Lonchura striata: one gene and its partner. The protein of the gene in region 1 interacts with the protein of each later gene in a biochemical or structural test. Links are inferred from orthologs where the notes say so. Each region holds a gene or a part of one and is shown in the gene's direction. Other genes may lie near its edges.

Region 1 (7,670 bases):
CCCCACCCTAACCCTCCTCCCCACAGACGTCCTGGGGAACATCATGAAGCACCTGACGGCGCGGCGCTCGCGGGCTCGCGTGGTGGAGAAGCTGCTGGGGCTGGGGCTGGTGGCTGAACGCAAGGAGCTGTACAAGAGACGCCGGAGGAAGAGCCAGGGCCCCAGTGTCGGGCAGGTACGGGGGGCTGGAGGCTGCTGGGCTGTGCCCTGGGGGTGCTGTCCCACCCTGGGGGTGCTGTCCCACCCTGGGGGCACCCAAACACTGCTGGCTCCCACAGGCTGACGCAGGCATGCCAGCCGTGCCAGCCCAAGACAGCTCAGGAGAGGATGAGGACAGCGAGGAGGAGGAGGAGGAGGATGAGGATGAAGCAGAGGAAGGCCACGTGGAGGTGCCCCAGGAAGGGGCTGGGCAGGACCTGGCACAGCGCCTGCATCGGGAAGGTGGGCGAGGGAGCCCCGAGCTGGGCTGGGCCGTGGGGCCGGACCCTGTGTCACCTCCTGCTGTCCCCAGGGCTGGCCGGGCCCCTGCGGTGGCTGCAGAACAGCCTGCGGCGGGCGGCGGGGGACCGCCAGGAGGACGGTGAGCGGGGCGGGGGGCGGCCGGGGGGTTCTACGGGGTCGGGGTCCCGCTGACGGCGCTCCCGGCCCAGGCGTGTCCCACCCGGTGCCGCTGGTGCCGCTGACGGAGGAGAACGAGGATGCCATGGAGGACCGGCGCTTCCGGGCCCTGCTGCGGCAGCTGGGGCTGCGGCCCCCCGCCAGCGAGCAGGTGAGGTGCCCACCCGTCCCTGTCCCTATCCGTCCCTGTCCCCATCCATCCCTGTCCCCATCCATCCCTGTCCCCGTCCATCCCTGTCCCCATCCTCGTCCCCATCCATCCATGTCCCCATCCATCCTTGTCCCCATCCCCGTCCCCATTCATCCCTGTCCCCATTCATCCCTGTCCCCATCCCCATTCATTCCTGTCTCCTTCCCTGTCCCCATCCCCATCCCCATCCATCCCTGTCCCCATCCCCATCCATTCCTGTCCCCATCCCTGTCCCCATCCCCATCCATCCCTGTCTCCACCCATCCCTGTCCCCATCCCTGTCCCCATCCCTGTCCCCATCCCCTGGCTCCCAGCACAGCCCTGCCATGTCCCCCCTCTCTGCCCAGGAATCCTTCTGGCGCATCCCGGCCGCCCTCACCCCGCAGCAGCTCCGGCGTGCAGCCGCCTCCATCGCCCACCGGGGCCCCTCGGGGTCCCCCCCGGACCCGTCAGAGCCGCCCAGCTGCCCCCAGGACCCGGCTCCAGGTGAGGGGTGGGGCTGGGGGGGGTGTGGGACCCCCAGGTGTGGGGCTGGCTCTGAGCCCCCCTCCTTGTGCCCCTCAGCAGAGCCGCTACCGGCGGGGCTGGGATCAGACTCGGAGAGGTGAGAGCCGACTTCCCTTCTCCGTTTGTGGGGTCCTGGTTTGGGGGGGTCTTCTCCCTGCCTGGGGAGGGGATTTGGCCCCCCGCATGTGGGGCTGAGCGGTGCCACCCTCTGCAGCGAGGAGCCCGTCCCCGTCCCCAGCCCAGTGCAGCCGCGCACCAAGAGGCGCCGGGAGCTCGCCAGCGAGGACGAGGATGAGGATGGTGGTGGGAGCTCAGGTGGGTTCAGCCCCTCTGCTTGCTTCTGAGGGCTGAGGGTCCTCTAGGTGTCTGCTGGGTCGGGGTTCTGCTGTCCTTGTCCCCTTTACCACACCCCTGGGGGGCTCAGCCCTCTCCCCTCTCCATCCATCCACAGGCACCGAGCTGGCCCCACCAGCTCCCCGCTCCGAGGAGGATGAGGAGGAGGAAGAGGATCCACAGCCCCGGGGGAGGCGGAAGCGCATCCGCTGCTTGGAAGAGGAGGAGGAAGAGGATTGAGTGGCTTCCCATACCCTGCCGGTGCCCAGGCCTTGTGCTGTTTTCTGGGCTTTTTGCAGATTTTGTTGGATTTCTGCAGTTTTTCTAGGGTTTCTACAGGTTTTCTGGGGTTTCTGCAGATTTTCTTCTGCAGGTTTTGATGCTGTTTTTAAAGGCTGCACAAGCAACCAGTTTCTCCACCTTCCCCCACTTCCCCTGGTGTCACCATCTCCCTGTTTTACCCCAAGTTTCCTCTTTTTCCTCAGCTGTTGGGGTTTTTCTCCTTCCTAAAACTTTTTAAATCTGGACAGGGCCTAAATAAATAAAAGTGACTTTTGTCCTCCTTGGGTGTGTGCGGGTCTGCAGGGGGGCTGGGGGCTCGAGCCGCGCTGGGCTCAGGGAGCGCCGGGTCCCTGTCCCCGCGCCGGACGTGTCGCAACTCCCGGATAACAGCGGCTATAAAGCGGTCACGGGGCCGGCGCGGCCGCAGCGGCCGGACGGGGCAGGGACAGCGGCGAGCGGGTGAGCCGGGGCACGGGGGAGCCACGGGGGGCTGCGCCCGCGGGGCTCTGACGGGGCTTTGTCCTTCTCCCACCTCCACAGACCCAGAGCCGCCACCATGGCCCGCGTTCTGCTCTTCCTCCCGCTCCTCATCCTCAGCCGTGCCACGGCCGTGTCCATCATCACCCCTGGGCCGGCTGCCGGTCAGCGGGCGCTGCCGGCGCCGGCGGAGCCCGTCGCGCCGCGGGCACCGGGGGTGCCGTGCCAGACCCTTCTCCCCGACGCCCTGCCCGGCTTCTCGCGGCTGCCGCCGCTGCCCCGCGGCCTGGCCCGTGCCGCCCTGGCGCTGGCGCTGCGCGGGGCCGGCTGTGCCCCCCAGGCCGAGGCCGAGGCGCTGGAGCTGGCTCGGGAGCTGGGGACCCCCGCGGCCGCGGCGCTGCTGCGGGGGCTGGCGCGGGTACCGGGCGCCCGGGCGCCGCGGCCGCTGGCGCTGCTGCTGCTCAGCCTGGCACGGCCGGGGGGCTCCGCCTGCGTGGATCCCACCCAAGCCCGCAGCCCCGCGCCCGGCACGGAGCCCACGCCACGCTTGGGCCAGGCCGGCCGGGAGCTGGCGGGGGTCCGGCCGTGCCGCGGTGCCGCGCGGCGGCGGCGGGAGGACGAGGACGCCTGCAGCCCGGCGGGGGAGCGCGAAGCCCACCGGGTGCTGGACTGGGTGCCGGGAGTCAGCGTCTTCTACAACCTGGGCACCAGCGTCTACTTCGCCTTCCAGGGCTGCGAGGCCGTGGCGTCCACGCGGGCGCTGCAGGCCGCCGAGGAGCTGGGCTACGCCGGGCTGGCCGCGCTCACCGGGGGTCTGGGGGGTCCCGTGGCCTTGGGGGTGCAGCTGGGGCTGCAGCCGGGGCTCAAGGCCGGCGTGCGGGCGCTCGTCGGGTACTTCACCTCGGCCGGGGAGCCCGCGCCGGTGCCCACTGCCCACAGCGGCGCCGTGGTCATCGTCTGAATAAAGGCCACGTGTGGCAGCCGGCGCCGGGTCGCTGTTTGGGGCGGCTGGGGACGGATCGATGCGGGGTCACCCTGGCCTGGGGCAGCCGGACCTCGGGCACGTGGTGGCAGCTGGGCTGGGCCTGTCCCTGTGTCCCTCGGTGGCTCCGTGCCTGTCCCTAAAGCCCCACAGCCACTCAGTCCCCGTGGCCACACTGCCTGGTCCCTGTCCCCAGGGCTCGTTCCCTCTCTCCCTCCAGCCTCTCCCTGTCCACAGGGCTCGGTCCCTGTTATCTTGGCCTCCCCCTGTCCCCAGGGCTCTGTCCCCAGGGCTCTGTCCCCAGGGCTCTGTCCCTGTCATCTTGGCCTCTCCCTTCCCCAGGGCTCTATCCCTGTTCCTATAACCTGTTCCTATAGCTCCGTCCCTGTCCTTGCAGCCTGTCCCCCGGTCCCCTGTGTCCCTGTCCCGGTCCCCTGTGTCCCTGTCCCGGTCCCCCCGCCCATCCCGGTCCCCTCCCTCCCTGTCCCGGTCCCCTGTGTCCTGTTCCGGTCCCCTCCGTCCCTGTCCCGGTCCCCTCAGTCCCTGTCCCTGTCCCCCCCGTCCCTGTCCCGGTCCCCCCGCCCATCCCGGTCCCCTCCGTCCCTCTCCCTGTCCCGGTCCCCTGTGTCCTGTCCCGGTCCCCCCGTCCCTGTCCTGGTCCCCCCCGTCCCTGTCCCGGTCCCCCCGCCCATCCCAGTCCCCTCCGTCCCTGTCCCGGTCCCCCGGTCCCCCCCGTCCCTGTCCCGGTCCCCCCCAGTCCCTGTCCCGGTCCCCGGTGTCCCTGTCCCGGTCGCCCCCGTCCCTGTCCCGGTCCCCCCCGTCCCTGTCCCGGTCCCCCCCAGTCCCTGTCCCGGTCCCCGGTGTCCCTGTCCCGGTCCCCCCAGTCCCTGTCCCGGTCCCCCCCGTCCCTGTCCCGGTCCCCCCGCCCATCCCGGTCCCCCCGTCCCTGTCCCGGTCCCCCCGCCCATCCCGGTCCCCCCGTCCCTGTCCCGGTCCCCCCCGTCCCTGTCCCGGTCCCCCCGCCCATCCCGGTCCCCCCGTCCCTGTCCCGGTCCCCCCGCCCATCCCGCGCCGCCGCCGTTCCCGCCCCCGCTCCCCGCTGGCCCCGCCCACTGAGCCCGCCCATTGGTCACACCCATCCACTAGCCCCGCCCACTACGCCCCGCCCCGCGTGACGTAAATTTGGGGAAATGAACAAACGGGCCCAGAGGCGCCGCGCGCGGGGGCGGGGCCTCGGCGCCGCTCTCCGCCAATCAGCGAGCAGAGCTGGCAGGGGGCGTGGCCAGCCCGCCTTCCTGCTCCGGTGCCGGCGGAGGTGGGTCGGGGGTCCCGGGGCACTCCGGGGCGGGACACGGGCGGTTCTGGAGCCCGGGAGAGCCCGGGGAAGGGGGGCACAGGCCGGGGACCCCGGCTGGGGCACACAGAGCGTCCCCTGGAAGGCTGTCGCGCTGGGGCGGGGGGCGGTCAGGGACACCCATCCCACTGGGGGGGACCCGGGGGGCGCCCGAGGGGTCCCATGGGGGTCCGGTCTAGGGGGTCTCTGAGGAGGGGCCTGGGGTGGTGCAGAAGGGGGGCTGGGGGCCCTGCTGTGGGCGTTCTGTGCCCCCCGCCCCGGGTGGGGAGCCCCCCTCGGCTCAGCCCCTGCTCCCACCGCAGGACGCGGCTGCCGGTCCGCGGCCACCCCAGCGGGAGCTGCCGGGGCTGCGGCGGGGCAGGGGGACCCTCGGGACCACCCAGAACCCGAGCAGAGGGACCCTCGGAACCACCCAGAACCGAGCACAGGGACCCTCGGAACCACCCAGAACCTGAGCAGAGGGACCCTCGGAACCACCCAGAACCGAGCACAGGGACCCTCGGAACCACCCAGGACCCGAGCAGAGTGACCCTAGGGATCAGCCAGGACCGAGCAGGAGCTGAGGGACCCCCGGGACCACCCAGGACTGAGCAGAGGGACCCCAGGGACCGAGCAGGAGCTGAGGGACCCCTGGGAGCAGCCAGGACCGAGCAGGAGCAGAGGGATCCTCGGACCACCCAGAACCCGAGCACAGGGACCCTCGGGACCACCCAGAACCCGACAGAGGGACCCCCGGGACCACCCAGGACTGAGCAGAGGGACCCCAGGGACCGAGCAGGAGCAGAGGGACCCCCGGGACCACCCAGGACTGAGCAGAGGGACCCCCAGGACCACCCAGGACTGAGCAGAGGGACCCCAGGACCGAGCAGGAGCAGAGGGACCCCGGTCCTGTGCTGCAGGCAGGTACGTGGGGTGCAGCGGTGCCCACCTGGCGCCCGCGGGTGTTCCTCCGGTCCCGGCGCGGCCGGGGCACGGCCCGGGGCGCCGCTGAGCCGCTGTCCCCGCAGCATGGCGCAGTGGCAGGAGGTGCAGAGCTTGGCCAACACCTACCTGGAGCAGGTGCACCAGCTGTACGCGGGCTCGGCGCTGCCCATGGCCGTGCGGCAGTCCTTGGCCGCCTGGATCGAGAGCCAGAACTGGTACCGGGGGGGGGGATCCGGGGCTGGGGGCGGCTCCGGGGGGCACGGGCGGGGCCGTGCCCGTGCTGAGCCCGTGCTGAGCCCGTGCTGAGCCCGCGCTGCCGCAGGCGCCAGGCGGCCGAGCCGCTCTGCTCGCACGCCCGCATGCTGTTCCACTCCTTACTGGTGCTACTGGGAGAGCGCCTGGGCAGCCTGGGCTCGGACCGCGAGGATTTCATGCTGAAGCACAACCTGCGCAAAGCCCACCGCGACCTCCAGGTGGGCTCCAGGGCCGGGGGGGGCGCGGTGGGGAGGGGTCTCCGCGCCGCGCTGACCCCCCCAAGCCCCTCCGCAGGCCGAGTTCGAGGAGAAGCCGGAGACGTTCGCCAACCTGGTGGCCAACCTGCTGCAGGAGGAGCGGCGGATCCTGCGCCTGGGGCAGGCGGGGGGGCAGGTAGGGCAGGGCAGGGTCCCCCGCCTCACCCCACAGGCGCCGGGGGTCCCGCGGCCGCTGCCCCACACCCCGTGTCTCCCTGCCTAGGGGGGTTCGGCCCCCGCGCCCACCCCAGCCCCGGAGAACGGCCGGGAGCAGCAGATCCAGCAGCGCTTGGGCGACTTCCACAGGGCCCTGCAGGTAACCCCCCGCCACCCCCCGCGACCCCCGCCGAGCCCCCCGGGGGCTGCCCGGCCCCTCCTGACCCCCCTGTGTCCGCAGGAAGCCGAACGAGCCTTCAGGCACCTGGAGGATTTGCAGGATGCCTTTGACTTCTGCTTCAAGGTGCACTACCAGCCAGGTGAGCCCCACGCTGGGGAGATTGGGGGGTGGGCACTGCCCTGCGCCCCCTCCGAGCCCCCCAAAACCCTGAGCCCTCTCCCCTGCCCGCAGATGGGGAGAGGAACGGGGACCCCGAGTACATGCAGGAGCTGAAATCCCTCGAGGACAAACTGAAGAACCTGGACCAGCAGCGCAAGGTGAGGGGGGCTCGGGGCGGCCAGGCTGGGTTTTGGGGGGGCACCGTGCACCCCGCTGAGAGCCACGTCTCCCCCCAGGAGGTGCTGGCTCAGATGCAGCAGCTCCTGAGGCGCAGCGAGACGCTGCAGGAGCTGCTGCAGCAGGAGCTGGGGGACTGGCGGGCGCGGCAGCAGCGCCAGTGCATGGGGGGCCCCGGCGACACCAACCTGCGCCCGCTGGAGACCTGGTAGGGTTGGGGGGCTCGGGGGGCTCGGGGTGGGGGGCTGCAGCCGGACCCCTCCGAGCTCCCTGACCCCCGCAGGTTCACGGAGCTGGGCCAGGGGCTGTTCCAGCTGCGGCAGCTGCTGCGGGCGCTGGGCGACCTGCGGCAGAAGGTGACCTACGCCAGGGACCCGCTGGTGACAGAGACGCCCCTGCTGCAGCAGCGGCTGCAGGAGCAGCTCACGCACCTGCTCAGGAGGTGAGCTGGGCTCTGAGCGGCTGCGGCGCTGCCAGGAGGGTTCTGGGGGTGGAGATCAGGGAAAAATCCTCCCCACCAGGGTGGTTGAGCGCTGGGGAAGCTCTCCAGGGAGTGGTGACGGTCCCGAGGTTGTCAGAGCTCCGGGAGAGTTTGGACAACGCTCCCAGGCACAGGGTGGGATTTTTGGGGTGTCTGTGTAGGGCCTGGAGCTGGGGTCAAGGGTTCTGGTGGGTCCCTCGCAGCTCTGGGTGTAATTCAGGAGGTCGGGGGGGTCGGGGCAGTGCTCTCAGGGATTTTGGGGGAAAGTTTGTGGTGTCCTGTGCTGGGCTGGACTTTGATCCTGATGGGTCCCTTCCAGCTCTGGATGATTCGAGAG
Region 2 (6,870 bases), on another chromosome or scaffold:
CAAACCCAGCAGAGCTCAAACTCCAGCAGGCCTCGTTTCCTCCACCACAGGAGCGGCTTGGGACACACATCAATGGCCACAGGGACACACACCATCCTCCCCTGGCTGCCTGTGCTCTGCAGATAGCACTGCTCTCCTATGGCCAGCTTCTGCTCCTTTCTTCTACCACATCGGTGAGGAAGTTGCATTCAAACTCAGCAGGAGATAAACTGCAAATATTTCCTAGGTTATGAAATGTTTCTAGCAGTGCCAGACTGGTTCAGCAGTTTCAGTTCAAAATGGTTACCCTGAGGTGTGGTTACACCAAGAAATGCCACAATCGTGTTTCCTTATCAGCTGTGGGGCAGGAGGTCACAACGCCCACAGGTCGAGTCTGGCTCAGGCTCAGCAGTGCCCTGCAACACGCTGGGCAATGCCCCCACACGCTGCTGGGGCCAAGCATTGATCCCTCCGTGCTCTGCAGCCCCGGGGCCCAAGCATTGATCCCTCCGTGCTCAGCAGCCCTGGGGCCCAAGCATTGATCCCTCCGGGCTCAGCAGCCCCGGGGGCCAAGCATTGATCCCTCCGGGCTCAGCAGCCCCGGGGGCCAAGCATTGATCCCTCCGGGCTCAGCAATCCCCTGGAGCCAAGCATTGATCCCTCCGTGCTCTGCAGCCCCGGGGGCCTGGAGCATCCCTGTGCTGTGCCCAGGAGAGGCTGAGGGAGCTGGGGCTGCTCAGCCTGGAGAGAGCCCCAGGGAGAGGGACCTGAGCCCTGCATGTCCCTGGCTGTCCCTGTCTGTCCCTGGCTATCCCTGGCTGTCCCTGTCTGTCTGTCTGTCCCTGGCTGTCCCTGTCTGTCTGTCCCTGTGTGTCCCTGTCTGCCTGTCCCTGGCTGTCCCTGTCTGTCCCTGGCTGTCTGTCCCTGTGTGTCCCTGTGTGTCCCTGGCTGTCTGTCCCTGTGTGTCCCTGTGTGTCCCTGGCTGTCTGTCCCTGTGTGTCCCTGTGTGTCCCTGTCTGTCCCTGGCTGTCTGTCCCTGTGTGTCCCTGTGTGTCCCTGTCTGTCCCAGGTGTGGCGAGGGCTGGTCCTGGCCGTTCGGGACGGACAGAGGGGACAGATGTGCAGTCAGGTCTCCGGGCACACGGTTCATTGCGGGGCCCAGCCCGGAGCAGCCCCGAGGGGTGGGGGCAGGATGAGCCAGCGAGAGGGAGCTCCACGACAGGGCCCAAGGGGGCAGAGGGCCCCGGTCTCCCAGGACGCCTCACCGAGGGGGTTTCAGAGGGGGTGCAGAATTCAACTTGGGAACAACGGGATTACGGGTACCTGACACTTGAGGGGAGGGTTACAGGTGCGGGAGGGACTATGCATTTCTGAGGGATGAGACAGAACACTTTATCTGTCCCTTGCATCTGTCTGTGGGTCAAAAAAGGGAGTTACCTTCTACCAGCTACACCGCTGGTCACCAGCTGCTTAGCAACCAAGGTCCGAAATCTCAAAGCTTGTTCTCATCTCAGTTTCACTCACAGTCTCTGTATTTTCCAAATCCTTCGCTAAGCAATCATATTTATAAGGCTTTCTCATTTCATCTTCCCAGCATCCAGGCTCTGCTCCAGGCCCAGCAATGGCCCCAGAGCCACGGGCAGGGGCTGAGCCCAGCAATTCCCTGCACAGGAGGCACAACTCCTGCCCTGGGCAGGGACTGAGCTGGAACAGAGCCCAGAGAGGGGCTGGAGGCTCCTCCCTGGGATATTCCAGAGCCACCTGGACACAGCCCTGTGCCCTGTGCTCTGGGATGGCCCTGCTGGAGCAGGGAGGTGGCACCAAGTGGCCACTTTGGTGCCACCTCCCAACCTCAGCCATCCTGGGATTCCGGGATTCTGGGACCTGAGATCAGCAGGAGTGCTCAGAGTATGTGCAGCACCCCATGACACAAGAGGCAGCAGCAGCCAGGAACATTTTTATCCAAAAGCCAGTCTGTACTCTCCCTGAGAAGCAAAGCCTGTCCTGGTTAACAGTCAGGATGTTGAGGCCACAGACCTTTGTGCCCCAGAGTTTCAAATCCTCCTCTCGGAAAACATTGGTCTGCCCACAGAGGAGTCTGTGCTTGAGGGGGTGGGAAGTGAAAGGTGAACACCTGACTTTACCTCCCCAGGCCTGCAGCTGGGCAGGCCATGGAAAAAAAAAAAAAAGAGAAGAGGAGCTCTTTAATCTTTTAATCTTGTCATCAGAACTTGTGGCTGGCAAAAGGGAGCTGAACCCAAGCCCCAGTTCAGGGGCTGTAACACACTGCATTTAATGCACACTGCAGCATTCAATGGAACATTTCAGAAATGGACAAACTGCAGCGAAAGAGAGAGTTCTCCCTCCCCAGACAATCAGAGAATCGGGGAATGGTTTGGATTGGGAGGGACCTCAAATCCCACCCAGTGCCACCCCTGCCATGGCAGGGACACCTCCCACTGTCTCAGTGTCCAGCCTGGCCTTGGGCACTGCCAGGGATCCAGGGGAATCTGGGAATTCCATCCCAGCCCTGCCCACCCTGCCAGGGAACAATTCCCAATTCCCAATCTCCCACCCAGCCCTGCCCTCTGGCAGTGGGAGCCATTCCCTGGCTCCTGTCCCTCCATCCTTGTCCCCAGTCCCTCTGCAGCTCTCCTGGAGCCCCTCCAGGCCCTGGCAGGGCTCTGAGCTCTCCCTGGAGTTTCTCCTCTCCAGGTTGAACATTCCCAGCTCTCCCAGCCTGGCTGCAGAGGGGCTCCGGCCCTGCAGCAGCCCCGTGGCCCTGGCTGGCCCGTGCCGGGTGTGCCCCGGCTGGGGCTGCGCTGTCCCTGCGTGACACCGGCCGGGGGCTGGGGCGGCACCGCGAGCTCCGGGAGGGTCCCGACATCGCCTTAGGGAACGGCGGCACAGCCCCGGCACAGCTCCGGCTGCCTCCACACAGCCCCGACCGCCCTCACAGCCCTCACACAGCTCCGACACAACCCTCACACCGCTCCGATACCGCCCTCACACCGCTCCGGCAGAGCTCCGGCTGCCTCCACACAGCCCCGACACCGGCCCCACACAGCCGTGACCGCCCTCACACCGGCCCCAGACAGCTCCGACACCGCCCTCAGAACCTTCACATCGCCCTCACCCAGCCCTGACTGCCCTCACAGAGCTCTGACACCGCCCTCACGCTGCCCCTCATACAGCTCCGACACCGCCTCACACCGCCCTCAGAACCCTCACATCGCCCTCATGCAGCCCTGACCGCCCTCACACCGCCCTGACCGCCCCCACAGAGCCCTCACTGCGCCCTCACGCAGCCCCGACACCGCCTCACACCGCCCTCATACAGCTCCGATACCGCCCTCAGAACCTTCACATCGCCCTGGCCGCCCTCACAGAGTTCTGACACCACCCCCTCACATAGCCCTCACACCGCCCTGACCGCCCCCACAGCTCCGACGCAGCCCTCACCGCCCTCAGACCGCCCTCACGCAGCCCCGACATCCCCTCACACAGCCCTGACCGCCTTCACACAGCCCCGACACCGCCCTCACACCGCCCTGATCGCCCTCACACAGCCCCGACACCGCCCTCACACATCTCCGACACAGCCCTCACATCGCCCTCACACCGCCCTGATCGCCCTCACACAGCCCCGACACCGCCCTCACACAGCCCCGACACAGCCCTCACATCGCCCTCACACCGCCCTGATCGCCCTCACACAGCTCCGACACCGCCCTCACGCAGCCCTGATCGCCCTCACAGCTCCGACACAGCCCTCACACCGCCCTCACAGCCCCCACACCGCCCCCACACCGCCCTCACAGCCCCCACACCGCCCTCACGCCGCCCCGACCGCCCCTCAGAGCGCCCGGGCCGCTCCGCGCAGGCGCCGCCGCCGCCGCTTCCGGCAGCGCTGCCCGGGATGGCGGAGCCGGGGGCTGGGGCGGCGGAGCCCGGGCAGGGATGGCCGGAGGAGCCGGAGGAGCCCGGGGATGGACGCACGGAGGAGCCGGAGGAGCCCGGGGATGGACGCACGGAGGAGCCGGAGGAGCCCAGGGATGGACGCACGGAGGGGCCGAGGGGCAGAAGGACGGCGGAGCGGCTGCGGGAGCCGGGCGCGCTCTGGCTGGCGGCCGCGCTGCCGCTGCTCCTGGTCCCGCTGCCCTGCGCAGGTGGGTCCGGGAGCGCTCAGGGAGCGGGGCGGAGCGGGGCTCCCTCCCCGGGAGAGCGGGGAGCGGGCCCGCTGCGCTCCCGGAGCTCCGCGGGGATGCGGGCTGGGATAACGGTGTCGGTGAGGATGTGCTGTGGTGTTTGCAGGGCTGCCGTGGAATCACAGCGGGGTTTGGGCTGGAGGAACCCCAAATCCCACCCAGTGCCACCCCTGCCATGGGGACACCTCCCACTGTGCCAGGCTGCTCCAGCCCCAGTGTCCAGCCTGGCCTTGAGCACTGCCAGGGATCCAGGGGAATCTGGGAATTCCATCCCAGCCCTGCCCACCCTGCCAGGGAACAATTCCCAATTCCCAATCTCCCACCCAGCCCTGCCCTCTGGCAGTGGGAGCCATTCCCTGGGTCTGTCCCCCGTGTCCCTGTGGATTGTCCCTCTCCCCCAGCCCGTCCCACCCATTCCCGGTGAATTGCAGCGGCTGCAGCCGCGGCGTGGGAAAAACAGCTTTGGATTCCCGTTCTTTGGCTTGGAAGTCAGTCTGGCAGAGTCTAAAGGATAAATGACGACATGATAGGTAGAATGGCAGGATGGGGGTTTTGGCTCGCAGGGCACGAGCTTGTGCCTTATCTTTTTTCCTTACACAGCAAAAAGCAACTATTGCCCAAAATCTGTTACTGGAAGAGGAAGGGTTGTGGAGCATCACAAGGGAGGGCAGAGAGACTGTTTATACAGGCAGGGAGTGACAGCACCAGGGACAATGGTTTTACACTGCCAGAGGGCAGGGCTGGCTGGGATATGGGGAATTGGGAATTGTTCCCTGGCAGGCTGGGAGGGGCTGCGATGGAATTCCCAGAGCAGCTGGGGCCGCCCATGGATCCCTGGCAGTGCCCAGGGCCAGGTTGGACACTGGGGCTGGAGCAGCCTGGGACTGGGTGGGCTCTGAGATCCCAACCAGTGGGTGATCCTAACTCTGGAATTCCAATAGCTCTGCTTCAGTGGCCTCTCCTTTTCCCTGTGCTGCTGCTCCAGGGTAAAGCTCTGGCTCTGGGTTTTCTTTGCATATCAAAGTCGTTCAGAGCTTTTTCTGGTGTCACATGTAAGGGGCCTCCTCTTCCTCCTTCTACTGAAATATTGGCTGAAATTTTCCACTGGCTTCTGCACCCAGGGATGTCGTAAGCATCGAGCATCATATGCTCTTCGTGGGATTTCCCCCAACAGCAGGGTTTGCTGTGTTGCCATTTCTTGCTTTCTTCTGTTGCTGAATAGATTTTATTACATAATCATTATTATTTTCAACCATTGTTTACTGATAACATTGCTGAACATCTCCCGAGTGAAGCAGTAATTTTTCTGTATTAGAACAGGTTGGGTTGGTTTAATTTATTGGAATTTGGTAGGGGAAGGAAATAGGCAGATGTGCTAAAAGCATTTCTGGTTTTTAATCTTTTCTTTCTGCAGAAACCTAATGCCTTATAATGGTTTCTCAGAACCAAAGTATCATCATGCTCAAGTGGACAAACAGGAATTAGTTTTAAATGTTTGGCTTTTAATCATTAATAAAATAAGCCAGGAAGAAGTGTTGTTTTTTAGGTTTTTCTTTGCATATCAAATTACTACATAAATCACAAAGTTTCTCTGCTGATTAAACGTCGCTGAGTTTGCTCCTTCCTTCCTGCATAGCTGTTCATTGGGAAATGGATGATTTGTGGAATTAATTTAGGGAGGCAAGCACAAAACTCATTGGAAATAGGGAAATATGTGAAAGGGTGGATGGCTGAATCACCTATTCCTGTGTGTAGGGTGGAACATCCAGAAGTATCCTGAGAAACTGCATCAGTATTCCAGGAAACAAGTGCAGTGATATTGAGCAGGAGAATGTGCAGGGCAAAGACAGGAGGGTTAAAATATCAGACCTGAAAAAAAAAAAAAAAAAAATTCTACACATAAATTACATGACATTGTTTTGTTGGGTGTTTTTAGAAACCCCAAAAGTATCAGGGCACAGCAGTGCTAATTAGAAGGAAAAGATTAGGTCATGTCTCATATAAATTAGGCCTCCATTAAGTAGCCTCATCCAGTTCATTGTGATTTTTTGTTTCACTGCTTCAAGCAAGTTGAACCGTTTGGAAGGGATACAGAAGAGAACAATAAAATTCCCTCAGGAAGCTGGAAATTTGGCTTAAAAGGAAAACTTCAAGAATTGCTGCTGCCATTCAGCTTTCTCTTGGTGGGGAGTTGTGTTGGAAATGACCTTCCTGGGCTATTTCCCAGCTGTACAAAACACTGGCCTGGCTTAAAACACAGAAAATCTTAAAGATCTTTAAAAATCAGAGATTTTAGATCTCTGCTCAGAACACGGATCTGGACAGGATCTTCTTCCTGCTTCCACTCCTCCTTTTTCCCATCTGACCCGCTGAGGTCTAACCAGGAGTACTGGAAAGCCTCATGCTCTATCAATTAAGGATTTGAAAAGACAGGAAAGATACACTAAATATTTAAATTTCTACCCAAATCAAACACAAATACTCTAATAATTGGAATTTATTCGTGTTTTTATCAGTTGGAGTCTGTGGGGCCCTTGTTGTCACAAGGGTTTTGGCTGAATTGTAGCCATCTGTTGGATAAATATCTGGGAAAAAAAAATCTGGTTTTTCCTTTGTTTTCTTATTTTCCAAGCAAACATCCTTTGGCATTCTCTGGGTTTGTCTTACTCTGTCAGAAGCGCAG

The links.
Region 2: the proteins of STAT2 (region 1) and IFNAR1 form a complex in vitro, tested with the Homo sapiens proteins (2 studies listed by BioGRID). The link is inferred for Lonchura striata from reciprocal best matches to the Homo sapiens genes STAT2 and IFNAR1.

Annotation. Positions count from the first base shown.
Region 1 is NC_134629.1:5,609,457-5,617,126, reverse strand, and holds the start of STAT2 (signal transducer and activator of transcription 2), read left to right. Parts: upstream 1-4,669; 5' UTR 4,670-4,704; intron 4,705-5,045; 5' UTR 5,046-5,646; intron 5,647-5,750; 5' UTR 5,751-5,751; coding exon 5,752-5,882; intron 5,883-5,989; coding exon 5,990-6,140; intron 6,141-6,216; coding exon 6,217-6,315; intron 6,316-6,402; coding exon 6,403-6,495; intron 6,496-6,576; coding exon 6,577-6,655; intron 6,656-6,747; coding exon 6,748-6,833; intron 6,834-6,911; coding exon 6,912-7,060; intron 7,061-7,135; coding exon 7,136-7,294; intron 7,295-7,670. Other genes in the region: protein timeless homolog, read left to right, coding at 27-175, 279-441, 512-580, 651-769, 1,156-1,294, 1,373-1,412, 1,530-1,630, 1,767-1,888; APOF (apolipoprotein F), read left to right, coding at 2,487-3,368. UniProt on the Homo sapiens protein: Signal transducer and activator of transcription that mediates signaling by type I interferons (IFN-alpha and IFN-beta).
Region 2 is NC_134604.1:116,560,139-116,567,008, reverse strand, and holds the start of IFNAR1 (interferon alpha/beta receptor 1), read left to right. Parts: upstream 1-3,857; 5' UTR 3,858-3,898; coding exon 3,899-4,148; intron 4,149-6,870. UniProt on the Homo sapiens protein: Together with IFNAR2, forms the heterodimeric receptor for type I interferons (including interferons alpha, beta, epsilon, omega and kappa).